Canis lupus familiaris: one gene and its partners. The protein of the gene in region 3 interacts with the protein of the main gene of each other region in a biochemical or structural test. Links are inferred from orthologs where the notes say so. Each region holds a gene or a part of one and is shown on either strand. Other genes may lie near its edges.

Region 1 (5,982 bases), on a different chromosome or scaffold from region 3:
AAATAATTTCCATCAAATGATTCTTTGACATATATTTTTTAAATTGTAAAATGTTATTTTTAAAAATATTTTTTAATAATAAATTTATTTTTTATTGGTGTTCGATTTATCAACATACAGAATAACACCCAGTGCTCATCCCATCAAGTGCTCCCCTCAGTGCCCGTCACCCTAAAATATATTCCAACAGTACAAATAGGAAAAAAACTTCCCAGTGTTTTTATATGAATAGATGGTGTGGTTTGGGATAAAAATTTTAGTAATAGTATTATATATTGATTCAAAAAGTGCTTGTATAATCTGTCTCATTTGTGTGAGGATTTTTAAAGAAATTCTATGTTCTATGAAAATCAAAAAATATTTCAATATTTTATAGATCATGTGTTTTTAGTATTTAAGTATACTAATGTTATAAATACATACTTGATTACCTTATATATTCAAATGATAAAGATTATTTTTAAATATTCTCGACAAAATAGGATACTTTATATATGGAGTTGCCTTATACTTGGACGTACTCAGTTTATGACCTTGATGCACATACTAGAAAAGAAAACAAATTGGGAATTACCTAAAGTTTTAATTTTAGGGATTAGAAAATGAGCCACAGAGTAAAGCCAACTAACGAAATGAAAAGTGATGAGGAAAGAGAAATTAACAAAAAAAGAACAAAAAAGAAACAGAAGATCAACGAAACTAAAAGCTGGCTTTTAAACCAATAAACTGGGGATCCCTGGGTGGCTCAGCAGTTTAGTGCCTGCCTTCTGCCCAGAACGCCGCGTGATCCTGGAGTCCCGGGATCGAGTCCCACATCGGGCTCCCCGCATGGAGCCTGCTTCTCCCTCTGCCTGTGTCTCTGCCTCTCTCTCAGTCTGTCTCTCATGAATAAATAAATAAAATCTTAAAAAAAATAAACTAAGCAAACTTCTGGCAAGATTAACAAGCAAAAGAGAAGGTAACATTTAATAGTATTAGGAATGAAGAGAGGATCATAACTGCTAATAGATATAAAAAAAATCACGAGGGAATACTATGATAACTTTCTAGAAATATGCACCAAGACTTGTAGAAAATTAGATTTGGGTAGAGATTTAAATGTTTCAGCCATGTTACATCTGAAATAATGTAGACATTGAGTAAGGCAAGTTAACCAAGCAAGTTCAGATACAGATTTGGGAATTACTAACTTATAAATGATGTGAAAAGCAGGTCAGTTTTGAGGATGTTTTAAGACCTGAAGTGATAAGGATCTGAACTAAGGCAGTAGCGGGATGAAAAGAGGATATAGAATGAAAAGATTAGGTCTGAAGTACATTTAGGTTTCTGAAAGTAGGTGACTGTGTGGAGGAAGTATTAACATTTCCTAGGTAAGAGTTAGGGAAGTGAATTTCATAGTTGAATTATTAGATAAAAACTATCTCAGATAGAAGTTCCTTTTAAAGAGAGGTTTATTGACACATAATTGAGCAAAATTTAGGGAAACGACCTTTGATGTTTATTTTTTTTATATTTTATTTAAAGTTAATTTGCCAACATAGAGTATAACAACTCATCTCATCATGTACCCTCCTTAATGCCCATCACCCAGTTACCCCATCCCTCCACCGACCTCTCCTTCTGCAATGGCTTGCTTGTTTCCCAGAATTCGGAGTCTCTCATAATTTGTCTTTTTTTTTTTTTTTTTTTGACTTGGAAAATTTTCGGGTTTATTGTAGCATATTAAGAAAGCAATTGATACTGTAGTTTTAAAACAAAATTGTGTATTGATTTAGTTGATGCTGCTATAATGGATGAATTTTCTTGGCAGAGATAGTATCAATGGAAGCTGATTTTCAAATAATAATTGAATATACCTCCCTGAAGGTTTTCAAATTGGAATAATATATCATTTTTTTTCTGGACAACTAATAATGATTAAAAATGTTAGATCTTTTGGTTGGTTGGTTAGATGTTTTTAAGAACATTTACCCTAAAACAGTATAGCATGACGGTTTTCTTGGATTAGGATTCACTTCTTTTGCTTTACAGGGAGAAGATAAAGTTTAACATTGGTCTCAAAGACAACTAAATTTCAGTAAAGGCCACCAACTTGCTGGTGAGTAATATGCAGACTGCTAGTATGTAGTCTGTGGCTGTTTAATACACCATAGATAAACTACTCAGTATATTTTTACTGAGATTTTTAAACTTTCAAGAAGAAAATAATTTTCTTTAAAAAGTTATCTTTTTAGAGTTTACGTTATAATTTCCTTTGTCTTTGGCAGTGCAAAAAAAAGAAAGGTTGAAAGTGTTCTTGAGTTCATCTCTTTAGAATTTGAATCTATATCTTCCACTTTACTATCCCTCTGTCTCCTAGGCTGGGTGTAGAGGTGAACTGGACGCAGCCAGAGACAGCATTTAGGTCCTTAGTGGTCTTGCTTCCCTGCTATGCATGGTCTCTGAGTAAATCAAAACTTTCGGTTGGTGATCAGTATGCATTAGATTATGTTGTTTGATATGTGTGCTATTTTAAATCACAGCTGATATGTGTGCTATTTTAAATCACAGCTATAAATATTTTTAGAGAAGGTGAAATGATAGTAAAAGAACATTGAAGATTGGAGTAAGAGAATTCTGTTACTTTATTTTAATTTTTTTTTTAGAGAGCTTTGTGTTAAACTCAGTTTAAAGTGTTTTTTTTATTCTATATAAATTACATTAAAATCAAGACATTATACAAAAGTAATAGATCCATTATGCTTTTTTTTTCTTTAACTGAAGGTGACATCAGAATTCATAAAAGTCAATTTTTAAAGAAGGTGACAAAAAGAGAAGGAAAATGCCGAAACCAGTAAGTGTATTTTACTTTTACCACTTCTTAATAAAATATCAGGAGCATTAAATTTCTTTTGGAACAAGGCAAAATGTTATGGTAGAGTCATTGGGAAGAAAAAGACACTGATAACTGCTGTTGCTTGTTCTTGATTAATGTAGCTTCAGCAAACTACTATGTAAGCCAGTAGAGAAGAGGTATAGCTTACATTGCAGTTAAGATGAAAATTCATGGGTTCTGGACCCAAACTGTCTCAGTCCATATCCTGGCTCTGCTGCTTACCCTCTGTGACTTCAGTTAGGTTACTTTAGACTCTCCAATTCTTAATTTCTTTCTATAAAAAGTAGAGATGTAATTAGTTGCTTACTTAGAGGGGTTTGGTGAGAGTTAGAAGAACTCGGTACACATTCAGTGCTTAGTAAATAGTAACTTCTTGTTAGATGGGAGGAATTAATGAAAAGTTGGAAGGATCCATGCATTAATTTTCTCATAATTCTAGCTTTGATTCTACTGCTACCAATGCTCATATAGTTTTCTATTTTTTTAAATTTTAGGGTGTATATATGATTTTACTTAGTTTTATAATTATATAGTTCTTGACGTTTATTTTTCTTCTCTTGGCATAAATGTTTTTACTTCATCTAACAAAATTGGGATTTTTTTTCAATATTTCTTTTGGCCAATTACCTTTTTAAGCAAATCATTGGTTAATAGCTATTGGAGGTTTCTGGCTGGCATGAATATCTCTTTGGAATTACTTTAAGGACTCAACAGGTAGGTAACAAAGTATGAATTTGCATTGTTGGAAGGAGAGAAGAATAAGAAGAAATAAAAGGCATTAACATCAGACAGGAAGAAGTAAATTTTCCTGTTTGCAGATGACATGATTGTTTATGCAGAAAATCTTCAAGAATCTAGAAACAGCTACTAGAACTATAACTGATTTAGCGAGATTGTTGGACCCAAGGTTATATTTTTTAAAATCCATGACCTTTCTTATATACTAGTAGCAAAATTTGAAAAATAAAGTAAAAATGTCTATTTGTAACAGCATCAAAGATATAAAATACTTAGGAATAAATTTACAGAAGCTATATAAAATCTCTACACTGAAAACTTGTGAGAAATTCAAGACCTAAATATATGGGATAATATTCTGTAATGTTAATAGATATGTCTAGAAAATATTAAGGTGTCACTCCTACACAAATGTAATGGTAGATTGAATGCAATTACTAGCAGTTTCTTTGGCTAACATGGATGAGCTGATTGTAAAATGTCTATAGAACTTCCAGAATTTGGGATCCCTGGGTGGCGCAGCGGTTTGGCGCTTGCCTTTGGCTCAGGGCGCGATCCTGGAGACCCGGGATCGAATCCCACATCGGGCTTCCGGTTCATGGAGCCTGCTTTTCTCTCTGCCTGTGTCTCTGCCTCTCTCTCTCTCTCTCTCTCTCTGTGTGACTATCATAAATAAATTAAAAAAAAAAAAAAAAAAGAACTTCCAGAATTTATATGGCATAGCTAAAGCAATTTTTATAAAGAAGAAAGTTGGAACACTTTCTTCTTTGAAAGTGTGAAGTGTGAAGAAAGTTCACACTTCTGGATTTTAAGACTTCTTCGTAAGCTAGAAGAATAAGACAATGTGGTATTGGTGAAAGGACAGATAAAATAGAATTGGTGGAACAAAAATATAACTACACATATGCATTCATTAGATTTTTGACAAGATTTTCACACAATTCAATGGGGAAATAAAGTTCTTTCTAACATATAGTGTTGGAACAAAGGGTTATCCGTAGAGAAGAACATGAATATTGACACTTATCTCACAATTTACACACAAAATTAACTTTAAGTGGAGCATAGAATAAATACAAAAGCCCAAAATATAAAATTGCTAGAAAACATAAGAAAACATTTGTGACACTGGGATAGGCAGTTTCTTAGATAACATATAGAAAGTTTGAACTATTAAAAAAAAAACACATTGGATTTTATCAGAATTAAAAACTTTTGTTCTTGAAAGACAGCAATAAAAAAATGAAAAGATAAAACAGAATGGGAGAAAGTAATTGCAAGATAAAGTTCTTCTGGAACACAGTAAGATAACCCAATTTTTTAAAAATGGGCAAAAACTTTTAACAGATACTTCAAAAAACGTATTAATAACTAGCAGACACATGAAAAGATCCTCTATATCTTTCATTACAGAGAAACAAAACTACAATGAGTTGCCATTTTATAGTCACCTTAAGGGCTAAAATTAAAAGATTGATAATATCAAGTGTTGGTAAGGATGAGAAGCAACCAGAACTGTTGATATTTCTGATAGGAACATGAAACTTTACAATTACTTTGGAAAACTTACTATAATCAAGTGTAAAACATTTATTATTCCTTACAGTAAGGATTCAAAATTGTATATGCAGTTGGATATAAATTATATATTATTAACTAATAAAATTCTGGAAGAAAACATGTTGTTAATAGTAATATACTTTTATCTTGTAAATTTCTTAGGTCAGGATATAATTAGCCCCCCCTTACCTGCCCCTCTGCAAAAGAGAAAAGAGTCTGATTTTTCAAAACAGAAAGCTTGGAGAAATTTGATTTCCATGTTTTGTTTATTTTTCACTGATCCTATTGGCTCAGCTTCATACTTACTAGATATGTAATCTTGGTCAAGTTTTTAAGTTATAACGTAAAGGTGATTTAATAAGTGCTTTGATTACCCTTAATATATCAGGGTATTATTATTGCTAGGAAGAAATGAAAAAGCTCTAAAAGTTGTATTATAGTGCTTTTTTATTAAAAATTATAAGTAATATTTGTATTTTTATTTATGTTAATATCTAATAAGGTTATTGTATTTAAATGAATTACTATTTTAAGTTTCTCAGTTTTAATTTCTAATGTGGTAAATGTAGATAGATAAGCCACAAAAACTTTTGGGGGTGTTTGGTAATTTTTTTTTTTTAAGATTTTATTTATTTATTCATGAGAGACACACAGAGGCAGAGACACAGGCAGAGGGAGAAGCAGGCTCTGTACAGGGAGCCCGATGTGGGACTCAATCCTGGGACTCCAATATCACGCCCTGGGCCAAAGGCAGGCGCTAAACCGCTGAGCCACCCAGGGATCCCCTATGCTTGGTAATTTTTAAGTGT
Region 2 (5,686 bases), on a different chromosome or scaffold from region 3:
TTTATTTGCTCCTGGTCTAGAAACACAGAGGTAATTATACCGAGTGGTTTCGTTTGTCATAGATTTACTGGAAATTTTTAACAGCAAAGGGGACGATGTTGCTCTACTATCCTTGAAGTTTCAACTTCTCCTTAAGGAAGATCTTCATGAACAGAGCAAAAAGGAGATGTCCTTTGCCCTGGGAACATGTTTGTTTTGAAATAACAGCAAGCAAAAGATGCTTTAAAAACCAAACCAAACCAAACCCGTGTAGAAGTGTGATTTCAGAACACTGTTACAGTACTGAGCAACAGAGTGAATTTCAGGAAAAGAAGGCCTAGGAGATGGAAATGTCATTGGAAATCAACTCCCCTGGAGAGTCTATTCTCAGAGCCGATGGGACCGTGAACCCGTTACTACCTTGCAGGAGGGCAATGCAACAATAAATACCAAAGCTTTAAAAAACGCTCACTCCTGCTACCCCAGTAACTCCAGTTTGGGGCGTATAGTCTAAAGAAATCAAGTTGTGAATTTTTTGTCACAAACACGCCCAGCCCAGCATGGTTTCTCAAACAGGGACAACTCAGCCGCTCAATAACAGAGACATTGGGTGAGGGCCACGAGCACAATGGGAGTGAACAGTAATTGGCCGTTAAAAATGTCCTAAGGGTTAGGTATTTTTCCAACTTTATTTTTTTAAATATTTATGATAGAGAGAGAGAAAGAGAGAGGCAGAGACACAGGCAGAGGGAGAAGCAGGCTCCATGCACCGGGAGCCCGACGTGGGATTCGATCCCGGGTCTCCAGGATCGCGCCCTGGGCCAAAGGCAGGCGCCAAACCACTGCGCCACCCAGGGATCCCTCCAACCTTCTTTAAAACATATCTTTACACACATAAAGAACTAGCCAAGAGGGGCACCTGGCTGGCTCAGTTGGCGGAGCATGTGACTCCTGACCTCAGGGTTATGAGTCTAGGCCCCAGAGTGGACACGGGACCTACTTAAAAACAAAAAACAACTCAGAGGAAAAAATACCAAAATATTGGCACTTTAATGGTCTGGTAACATCAACTCCAGAACTTGGTATAAGGCGTGGAACTAGTAAACGCTCAACGCACCGGAAACGGACAACGCACACATAAGGGAAGAAATTTCAACATTTTTGGCTCAATGAGCAGAAGTTATCTTTGGAAAATGGTAGAGCGTGTGGCATTTGCTTCCTTAGAAATTTAGGTTCTGAATTTTCTGGCAGAATCTCGTCCTCCCCTCAGAGTTCTCACAGAAGTCTAGACTCATGCCCTTCGCCAGGTGGCACAAACATGGCGGCCGGCCCGCCCCCGCCCCCGCCCCCGCCCCCGCGCCCCCATCTCTTACCACCCTCTGGAGCCGAGCGGGCCCCAGCCGAGCGCGTCCGAGCGCTCCCGAACGTCCCCGAACCCGGCAGGAAGCCCGGGAGCCGCGCGGGCAGGAGCGGCCCCGCCCCGGAGCCTGGGAGCGGCGCGCCGGCGCGGGGGAGGGGAGACCGGATGTGAGTGGAGCGGCCATTTCCTGTTTCTCCGCAGTTTTCCCCCAGCTTTGGGTGGTGGCCGCGGCTGGGCTCCGGCTTTCCGTCGGCGGAAGGCGAGGCGGCGTGGACAGCGGCCCCGGCACCCCGCGCCCTGCCGCCTGCAGCCGCGCGCCCGCCCGCGGCGCCCCGAGCCCGCCGCTTCTCGCGTCAGCGCCCGCCCGCCGCCGCCGCGGCCCAGCGAGCGGCCCAGATGCAGGCCATCAAGTGTGTGGTGGTGGGAGACGGGTGAGTGCGCGGGCCGGGGCCGGGGGCCGGGGGCCGGGGGCCGGGGGCCGAGGCCGAGGGTGGGGCCTGGGGGCCGGGCCGGGCGGGCTCTCGCGGGCCCGGAGCCGGCCTCTCCGCGGGGCGCGGGCCACCACTCACTCCCTCCGGGACTGGGAGGCACGGGGCCTGGTTCCGGCTCTTTTTTTTTTTTTTCTTTGCCTTTTTTCTTTTTTCTTTTTTTTCTGATGGGGGAGGGAGTCGCCGAGCGGCGGCCGGAGGGAAAAGTGAACTCCACCCTCCCGCCTTCTGGGCCCGCTGCGCGCGGGGCGGGACCCCCCAGCCGCGCCGCCACCCGCGCTCGTCCGCCCCTACAGCGGTGGGCTTGGAGTTGCCTTTCTTTCTCTAAGGGGGGGCGGGGAAGGACCCTTTCTGGGTTTTTACATCAGCCTCTGGAGCCCGGTTATAAGCTTCCGTGTGTCCCGGCGACCAGGTCGATAGTTCTTGAGTATTTGCCTGGGCTGGTTTGGCGACCCCAAACTGATTTCCCGTATCTTCCGCTTGTACTTAGCCGCTTTTAAGATTTTTCCCTCCCTTTGGTGATAATTCTTGTACTTTCCTTGGAGAAACTTTTGGGATTCTAGCTACGAGAAGCTAGGTGTGATTAAGACTGATCTTTTCTCTGAATGTGGTGTGGTCATAAAAAAAAAAGGAAGAGAGAAAGAAAGAAATTTGCTTTCGCTGCTTGCATTAGGTATGGGATGTAGCAGAACAGGCTCCCTGAGCGGAGCTGCCCTGTGACTCAAGGCATTTCTTTTCATTACTGTCTGTGGTGGTTACAAGGCCCTAGAGGAAGACAAGACTTGGCTTATGCAGTTTTTTTTTCCCCTCCCATAGAAACAAAAATCTCAGTGTAATCCGAGCAAAATTGTGTATCTCAGCAGTGCTCGAGTTAGTTGAGTGTTAACAGCGAAGATCCAAGAATTACTATCAGTTTCATCAAACTCAGTGTAATTGGTACATTTTTCAAGTCTTGTAAAATCGAAGGAAGAGTTCTGGCATCGCTCTTCCTTTTGATTAATATTCCCCAAACTTGTCATTAGGACTGATGTGGCTTTTATGCCTCCCAAGTTGTGAATTAGCTCATTTAGATTGTTGTAAATTAGACATTTTGAAACTGTTGCTACAACTATTTCAGATGTAAGGACAGTTGAACTAATTTTTTAAAAGATGCCCATCTGTGTGATTTGTCAGTCTTCAACGTGTGAAACGTTATTAACACTTCATGGTTCTGTGCATATAGCTAAAAATTATGACTCTCACCTATTTAGGAATATGTATGTTTTTTGTTTTTGTTTTTTAAACCCTTGAAAAGAAAGCTTTTCTTTCATTTGGGGTCCAAAAACTTCAGTTAATTAGTTTAATAGGGAAATCAGTACATTGGTTTAAATGAAATTTGATCCTTTTGTGTAATGAGTTAACTACACATATATCACATTGTCTTATGAACACTTTAACTGCATTTCCTTTAAAAATTTAAAAATGCTGAATCTGTAATGCTTAGAGTATGAAATAATGCTGTTTTTTTTAAATTGCTGATAATTCAGTATCTAACTTTAGAATGTAATATTCTTTTTTTTTTTTTTTAAGATTTTTATTTATTTGACAGAGAGAGCACAAGCAGGGGGAGTGGCAGAGGGAGAGGGAAAGAGAGAGGCAGGCTCCATGCCAAGCAGGGAGCCGGATGCGCCACTTGAACCCAGGACCCTGGGATCACGACCTGAGAGGAAGGCAGACACTTACCTGACAGAGCCACCCAGGTGCCCTAGAATGTAATATTCTTAATTGAAAATTTCTGAAACTAAACATAAGCACAGCAGACCTACTTAATGCTTACAGATGATGGACCCCGAAGATTTGTATTGCCTTGTGTATCTAGTCACATACTTGTTGAATGCCTGTTGTGGGATCTGGATCCTTACTTCGAATCCCCACTCCCAATGATTAGGGAGGAACCTGGGCATATTCACACTCCTCTCCCAGGACAGGGACCTCAAGTTGAAGTGGCGAGGATTAAACAAGTTGCTGGGGGACGCCTGGGTGTTTCAGTGGTGCCTGCCCGGCTCCAGCTCTGGTCGAGATCCTGGGATCGGGGATCAGGCTCCCTGCAGAGAGCCTGCTTCTCCCTCTCCTTGTGTCTCTGCCTCTCTTTCTCAGTCTGTCTCATGAATGAATAAATACATAAATCTTAAAAAAAAAAATAAACAAGATGCTGAATACTAAGTGCCTCCCAGGTGCCTGGCCCCAGGTGAGAAAGTGCAGGCAGCCAGCCTCATATAGTGTTGCTCTTTCTCTTAATCTGAGGCACTGTTGGGCCCTGTGTGGGAGGTCCAAAGCATAAAACAATTCTTGGCTTTAAGTTTTCATTCGATTTATTTGGTACTGTATTTGACATTGATGTAGACTGGGGCAAAGCCCTGTTAGAAGTAAACAATTCAAGCTCTGTTTATTTATTTTTTAAAGATTTATTCATTTATTTAAGTAATCTCTACACTCAATGTGGGACTCAACCTCAGGACCTTGAGATCCAAGAGTTGCACGTTCCTCCAACTGAGCCAGCCAGTTGCCCCCTCTATTACTTTAAATAAGGGACAACATACAGCAAACATTACTTCAGTGAAAAAGTTACATACATGACTTTCCAAACCAAAAATATTTTTTTGCTTTGACCCAAACAAAACATACCTGATGATATACTTGGAATGTTCTTTTATTCAAAAATTGTTAAAGCTGTAAACGTGGGTGTAAATTTTGTGGGGCAAAGAACTCAGTGCTGTGGGACTTGTAGTTAAGGGGAGTTTAAGCAATAAAGGCAAATTGAAGCTGCACAAATTGCAAGCTTCCTTATCTAAAAAATATTCTTGGGAATTAGGTTAAAAGTTATATCATAACCATATTATAAGTAGGATCAACTAGCCTATATTCTTTTTTTTTTTTTTTTTTTTTAAGATTTTATTTATTCATTCATGAGAGAGACAGAGAGAGGCAGAGACACAGGCAGAGGGAGAAGCAGGCCCCATGCAGGGAGCCCGTTATGGGACTGGATCCCGGGTCTCCAGGATCATGCCTTGGAGGCAGGCGCCAAACCGCTGAGCCACCGAGGGATCCCTAATTAGCCTATATTCTTATAAATTATTTCCTATATAGCAGTTCACTGGCATTAAGTATAAAATGTGAAGTGACATTTTGATACTGTTTAATTCTGCAGATCCTTCTCTTGGTCCTAATTCTGTTAGTCCTTCCTGAACACAGGGTCTTTTACTTTGACTTGGGGGATCTCTGCCCCCAAGATTTTCTCTCAGCTTCGGTAAGACAGCATCTCACATTCAGATGTTTCTAAACATTTTTAATAGTGTTGCTTTGACTTTGGTTGACCAGAAGCTGGGAGTGAGTGACCTGAAGCCCCCCTACGTTCACTCCAGATTGGGCAAGTGGTCTCATCATCCCAGTGTCTAATTTAGACATTGCTTTCCAGGAAATTGTTTTAGTTCAGTGTGAAAAATACCTTCCATGATGATGTCATCTTTTTAGGAATGTACACCACTTAGTCTCCACTCACTTCCATTGAATAATCAGTGGGGAAAAAAAATCAATGAAGGTATGATCCATGAATTTAAGTACCTCATGAATTGTCTTTGTGTATTTTTGTCTTGAGGCATGGGGTTCCACATTTTTGACCGGTTGTAAAGGTGTTTGAAATCTACACTGGCTTCTAAATTTGAGTTTGTTATTTGCCTCTGATCTTGGTGGTTAAAATTATACTTAAGTCTTTTTTTTTTTTTTTTAACAACTTTCAAATGATAATCCCAGTAAAAGTTCAAGATTGGGTTCAGTAGAGGAGTTATCAGTAATTTTTAGAAATCTTAAAGCCACTTTTCAT
Region 3 (5,876 bases):
AAAAGAAAAAAAGAAACTGGTACGAAAGCCTTCCTTCTCCTTCAACGGCCATAGGGGCAGTGGCTACCGCCTAGGGAAGAGCCAGCACTTCCCTGTGGGTCCTTGCTGCCCCCCCACCCCCGCCCCAGAGACAAGCAGCAGACACCCTGGCTCCTTTGGGGGAGTTTATTTCCCGGTCAGAAAAGGAGAAGCAGGGTCAGGCTCCTGAACATCCTAGGCCCAGGCCTAACAAGGGAGGCAAGGGGAGGGAGGCACAGGGGAGGGCTCCGACTGTGCGGCTTGGTCCCGCAGCTGTCCTGGCTGGGTCCGGGGATGGCCTGCCGGGGATGGTGGCACCGAGCCTGGGGGCAGAGGTGGCAGGCCAGGGGGCCCAGAGGACGGCACATATGGAGGCAATAAATACTGACCGACCAGGCACACGACACCAGGCCGGCAGGCCCGGGTGGGACAAGTAAGGCTCGGCCGCTGGCTCTGTCCGACGAGGGCTGTGTGCTGGGGCCCCGGGCTCCTGCACCACCCCCTGGGACAGAGAAGGCAGAGGCGTGAGGACACCTGGCCTCCCACATGGGAATGGAGGCAACTTCAGTTTTGGCAATTTGGCTTTCCCCAAGCCCCTGGAGCCACCCCCACTGCCCTGGCCAGGGGAGGGGGCTGGCTAGGCCCTGGTGGGCAGGGGAGCAGCAGCAGCACATCCCACACACCTCCCCGGGCCACGGGGATTGCGGAGGGGGCAAGGACCGGGGGAGACCACATGCTCATGCAGACACGGGGGGGTTAGAGGTTAGTGACGGCCCCCACAGCACACGTTCCACATGTTAAGGCATCATGGTTAGACGGTTATGGACAGCGATGGATGAACTGACTGGGGACAGGTGAAAGCAGGAGGGTGGCTGGCCCCCAAAAGGCCTCGAATCATGCACCCCACCCCACCCCCACCCCGGAAGAAGAGAAAGAACAGGATTCAGGGCTACTGCGAAGGCCCACAGGGACCCGAGCACCCCCACGAGATTCCCTCGGAAAAGCCAGGGCCTCAGGTCAGGTGAGGACAGGTGGGGGAACATGAAGGGGTACGGAAGGGGAGGTGGGGGCCTGGCCTGGAGGCTCCCTCCCCCCTCCCCCCCCCAGCACAGGCAGAAGCAGCAAGGCGAGACCACCGAGGAGGCTGGGGCCTGCGGGGTGGGGCCGGGAGGGATGGGAAGGGTAGGCCAGGGAGAGCAGACCCGTCAGCACTTTGGTAAGGGGTTGGGATGGGGTGGGGGCAGTAGGGGTGGGGCGTGTCAGACAGGTCCGTCTGTCTGTCCGAAGGCCTGCCCGCCTCCCAGGCCAGGGCTCAGTCCTTCCATTCCTTTTTGATGGTAAGGTTCCACTCCCAGGACAGGTGGTCAGTCTTGTCGTCGTCTGTGAAGCGGGACTTGATGTTGTAGCTGCCGCGAGCCAACATACCCTTGGGTGCCTCCTCCATGGGGGTCAGAAACTCGTACTCCTCTGCCCGGGGCCCGTAGCTCCCCACCATGTAGTCGGTCTTGTCAACTGTGTGCAGGAGACACACTGGTCACCGGTGCTCCCGATCCCACCAGGGCTAAGGGCACACACCACCATCTTCCTCTCCCTCCTGGTCCCAGAGCCCTGGGCGGCCACCTCCACCCTGCCCCCTCCCACAGGCCACCTAAGTGGTGCCACGCCATCTCGGGGGCAGGGCCAACCCCCGACTCACTCTTGACGCCTTTCCTGTACGTGTGCTGGATGTACTTCATGCCCGACACAATCTCCCGGTTCACCTGCAGGGGGAGAACCCAGGCAGAGCTCGGTGGGGCCCTCCAGGCCCGACACCTCCCAGCTCCTCCCACAGCCTCTGCCTTACTCGGAAAGAGATCTTTATCCGGTACTCCACGCCCTCCTTCAGCACAAAGGACTGCTTCTTGAAGCTCTCCAGGTCCCCTGTGCCCAAGAAGATTGCACTAAAAGGCTCAGCTGCAGGAAGCTGCCCACCTCAGCATCTCCCATCTGCAGCGCCTGGCGCTCCTTCGGCCCCCACCCTGACCCCACCCGCCGCCCAGGTCCCTCCAAAGCCAGAGCCTGCAGACTTCCTGGTTGCGCTTCTCGCGCCCCCCACAAGGGGGCACCCGCGTTCCGAGAACTAGTTTCAGCGGAAACAGCAGGGTGGCAGGCGGGAGGACCTCAGTGATGCCACTCACCTGTCAGGTCCAGCTCCAGGGGGCCCGGGGCTGTGCTACACACCAGGGTCAGGCGGGTCACAACAACATTGGGGACGTTGGGGTCTGCGGAGGGAGAGTGGGTTGGAGTGCCTCCCCACCTCCCACTTGCTGGAGGCTGGGGGGTGGGGCTGGCGGCTGAAACCCAGAAGTGACAAGCATCCCTTTTGGTGCTGCCTCAGCCCACTTACCAGCAGACACGGCTACGCGGCCCAACAGGGCCTCCTTGTACTTGCGCAGGCTCTCGTCATCCTTGTCCAGCTCCTGGATCTCCTGGATGCTCTTCTGGGCAGGGGGCTTGTAGTTGACAGAGTGCTCATCCTCCTCGTTCTCAGCTGCGATCTGCGCGAGCTGCTCAGCTGTGGGCTCTTGCTCAGCCATGCTCACTCCTAGCTGGTCTGGGACACCTGTGGGCAGGGACAGGGCTGTGTCAGCCTGAAGGGACGCACATCTCCCTCTCCTGCCTCTCAGCAAGCCCCCCCGCTGGTGCAGGTGCGCTGTACTGAAGGGCCCTCTGCAGGTAACCCGGCCCCTTGTCTGGGCACAAGGGGATGTAAGCCTTCGGGAGGAAAGCAACTGCAGACTCAGCTTCACCCCCCAAACAGGCTCCTAAGGCCCAGAGAGGGCCACACTCCTTGCCCTGCCCACCTCGGGGACCTGCTGGAAACTGGGACAGAGCACCCAGAACCAAGTGGGGCCTGCAACCCGCTCCTTGAAAAGACCAGGCATCCCTCTCCCAAGCCTGGGGGAGAAGACAGCACTCCCAGCCCCGACAGGGAGGGGTCACCTCTGAAGTCCTGAGATTCTTCTGCAGCTGCCCAGACTCTCTCCCCAAGCGACACCTCCTCCTGGGTCTCCCTGACCAAACACACTCCCTGGGCCCGGTTCTAACAGGGAAGCAAGTCCCCACAGCGCAGCTCTGGTGACCCGGCCAGCCCGAGTCCCACAGGTGGGTCCCGGCCCCTCACCAGGAGCCCTAAGTACCCGCCAACCTCTTCTCCAACGGCCAGGGTACGTGAGCCACGATTTGGGAAGCGCGGCAGTGCCCACATGGTCTCAAGATCCTCCTCCGGGATCCTGGCCCCGGGCGGCTCGGACAGCGTGCCCCGGGACACGGAAGCCCGCTCGGGTCCTCCGGGCGGCGCGGGAGGTGGGCCGGGGCCCTGGCCCCCTAGACCTCGGCCTGCCCGTCCCCACGGACCGGCGGGCCGCCTGGGGTCGCCTGGGGCGGCCCGAGCCCCACAAAGGACCGCCGCCGGCGGGGTGGGGCCAGCCGCTGTTCCAGGCCTCCCGGCCGCTTCCTCTGGAATTCCTCTAGAAGGCTCACGCCCTGACGCCACCCAAGTGTGGCCGCGGGGGACAGGATCCTCCGAGAGCGATGGCCGCGGCCCACACTTCCTTCCGCAGCGCTCCGCAATCTGGGCGGGCGGGCGCGCCGCGCGGGGAGGGGTGCTCGGGACCACGCCGCCGTGAGGGCGCCGCGCCCGCCATCCCCGGGGAGGGGGCGCCGGCCAGTCTGCCGGCGAGCAGCGGCGCGGACGGGGGCGCCGCGGGACACGGGCGGTGGCCCCCGAGGAGGCCCGCGCCCACCCCGGCGAGCGGCGCGAACAAAGGCGCGGCACCCCCGGCCCCGCGGCGCCCGCCCTCCCGGTCCCGCCCCGCCCCGCCTCGCCCTGCCCGCCGCCGCCGCCGCCGCCGCTCACCGGAGGCTCGACCGCGCCGCTCTCGCGCTCCCTCCCGCACGGAATGACGAACGTCGCCGCCCCGCCCGCGCGCGCCCGGCCGGCCACTTCCGGGGTCACGCGACTTCCGCTCGCGCCGGGCGGACGGCGGAGGGCGGACGGCGCATGCGCGCGCACGGGCCGCCGGGAGCGCGCCGCCGCCATCTTGTGGAGCCGGCCTCCGTGGGCGCGTCCGCGGGGGCGGGGCCGGGGCCGCTCGCGGGGCGCCGGGTGCTCTCCGGTGCGGGGCGTCCCCGGGTCCCGGCGCGGCGGAGGGGGGTCCGGCCCCGAGGCGCTCCTCGCAGCCTAATCCGGAAGCTCCCGGTGCGGCCGGCCCGGTCGCTTCCGCCCGCCCTTCCCCGAGGCCGGCAGGTGTCCGAATGAGCCGCGCGCGCCGCCGAGCCCCGGCAGGTGCCGCCCCCCCCCCCCGCGCCCCGCCCTCGGCCCGGCGCTCGGCCCCGCGCGGCACCTGTGCGGAGGGAACTGAAGGCAAGCTACGAACCTGGCTACCGGTTTGGAGATATTTTTTAGTACCGGGGGAATATGTGCAGATTTTGCGTGACGTAGGAGCCGCGCGCCGGCTGTGTGTGCAGAGCCTCGGCTGTGTGTGCAGAGCCTCGTGGTGAGCGCCTCGGTGTGCTGCTCTCCCGCTTCCCCTGTGCAAGCCCGCACCCGGCCCGCCGCCCTACACGCCCAGCGGCTGGGAGAGGAAAAGGTCGGCTTGCAGATCACCCAAGTGCTTTTGAAAAACAAAACAAAAAGTAAAAAAAACCAGCTGTAGGAAAATTCAAACACATTTTATACGTGATCTATTACAGTGTAAAAACGTTCCCATGGTATTTAGCAGCTTGACACAGCAGTTCTACGGCTGAGATCAGGGAGCTGCTTGGCAGGCGGCCCTGGCTCCTGGTCTGTGAGGTCGCAGGCCAGCCGCCAGCCAGAGCCCCGGTCCCTAGGCTCTTGCAGATGCTATGAACAGGAGTCTGGTTCCTCCTGCGCTGGAGGACTCAGTGCCACCTGGCACTCCCAACCTCTCCAGAGGGCTGCCCACAGCAAGGTAGCTGACTTGTCCCAGGTGAGGCCTCAGAGGCGGACAGATGGACCATGGACAGAGGACAAGAGCCGGGAAACAGCAAGCACTGGAGGCGAAGCTGCACTGGCTCTTAGAAGCTGAATCTCAGAAGCAAGGTCCCTGGTGCTCTGCTCACACAGACCTGCCCCAGGACAGTGTAGGAGGGGCCACGGGGTGAGAAGACGGGCCGGCCAGGCCGTCGGGCCCTGTCTTGCAGGTGCCCCACCACATGCACCAAAGTCCAAAGAAGAGTACTGTGAACCCGGTGGGCTTGGCAGCTAGCTTCAGCAGTTAGCAGCCTGCGGCCTTTCTTCCACCTGTGCCCTCCCTCCTCCCCCACACACAGCAGGTTTGAAGCAAACCTCAGAGGTGACGGCGACCATAAATCTTCTAGCATGTGTTTATTTCAGAGGAAGGGGATCCCTTCTGGCCACCGCACCCTTATCCACCTGTTGCAGGATCTACCGCCGGGTAAGGAACAGCTCAGTGGACTGGCTCGGAGCAGCAACCTGCAGCTGCCTCTGCTGTTCTGTGGGCTGCTCGAGCATAGCCGGAGCTCTCCTGCCGTTGCCGTCAGGTCAGGTCCATGCTGGAGCCCCCCCCCACTCCGGGCCAGCGCTCAGCCGAGGCTGCCAGCCCCAGGCCCTTCCACACAACTCCTGTGGGGTTTTGGCAGCTGGATTCCAAGGGCAGGTGTTCTGAGAGGCCTGCTCACAAGTCTCGGTGGGAACCCACTGGTCAGTGCCAGAAACCAAACTTTGGCAGCTTTTCACTAGTCAAGCCCAAGACATGAGTCCTCCTGGGTGAAGGGCAGGACATTAGATTCCACCTCTTTCAAGGAAGAAAAGCAATCACCGTGTGGCCTCCTGA

The links.
Region 1: the proteins of ARHGDIA (region 3) and RDX form a complex in vitro, tested with the Homo sapiens proteins (2 studies listed by BioGRID and IntAct). The link is inferred for Canis lupus familiaris from reciprocal best matches to the Homo sapiens genes ARHGDIA and RDX.
Region 2: the proteins of ARHGDIA (region 3) and RAC1 are reported together in a solved structure, tested with the Homo sapiens proteins (2 studies listed by BioGRID and IntAct, with this or other methods). The link is inferred for Canis lupus familiaris from reciprocal best matches to the Homo sapiens genes ARHGDIA and RAC1.

What each region holds. Positions count from the first base shown.
Region 1 is NC_049226.1:22,603,442-22,609,423, forward strand, and holds the start of RDX (radixin), read left to right. Parts: upstream 1-2,031; 5' UTR 2,032-2,098; intron 2,099-2,763; 5' UTR 2,764-2,821; coding exon 2,822-2,833; intron 2,834-5,982. UniProt on the Homo sapiens protein: Probably plays a crucial role in the binding of the barbed end of actin filaments to the plasma membrane.
Region 2 is NC_049227.1:11,815,340-11,821,025, forward strand, and holds the start of RAC1 (ras-related C3 botulinum toxin substrate 1 precursor), read left to right. Parts: upstream 1-1,735; coding exon 1,736-1,770; intron 1,771-5,686. UniProt on the Homo sapiens protein: Plasma membrane-associated small GTPase which cycles between active GTP-bound and inactive GDP-bound states.
Region 3 is NC_049230.1:1,241,539-1,247,414, reverse strand, and holds ARHGDIA (rho GDP-dissociation inhibitor 1), read right to left. Parts: upstream 4,046-5,876; 5' UTR 3,917-4,045; intron 3,344-3,916; exon of another isoform or gene 3,206-3,343; intron 2,621-3,205; 5' UTR 2,595-2,620; coding exon 2,405-2,594; intron 2,280-2,404; coding exon 2,196-2,279; intron 1,939-2,195; coding exon 1,862-1,938; intron 1,779-1,861; coding exon 1,715-1,778; intron 1,531-1,714; coding exon 1,331-1,530; 3' UTR 1,160-1,330; downstream 1-1,159. UniProt on the Homo sapiens protein: Controls Rho proteins homeostasis. Regulates the GDP/GTP exchange reaction of the Rho proteins by inhibiting the dissociation of GDP from them, and the subsequent binding of GTP to them.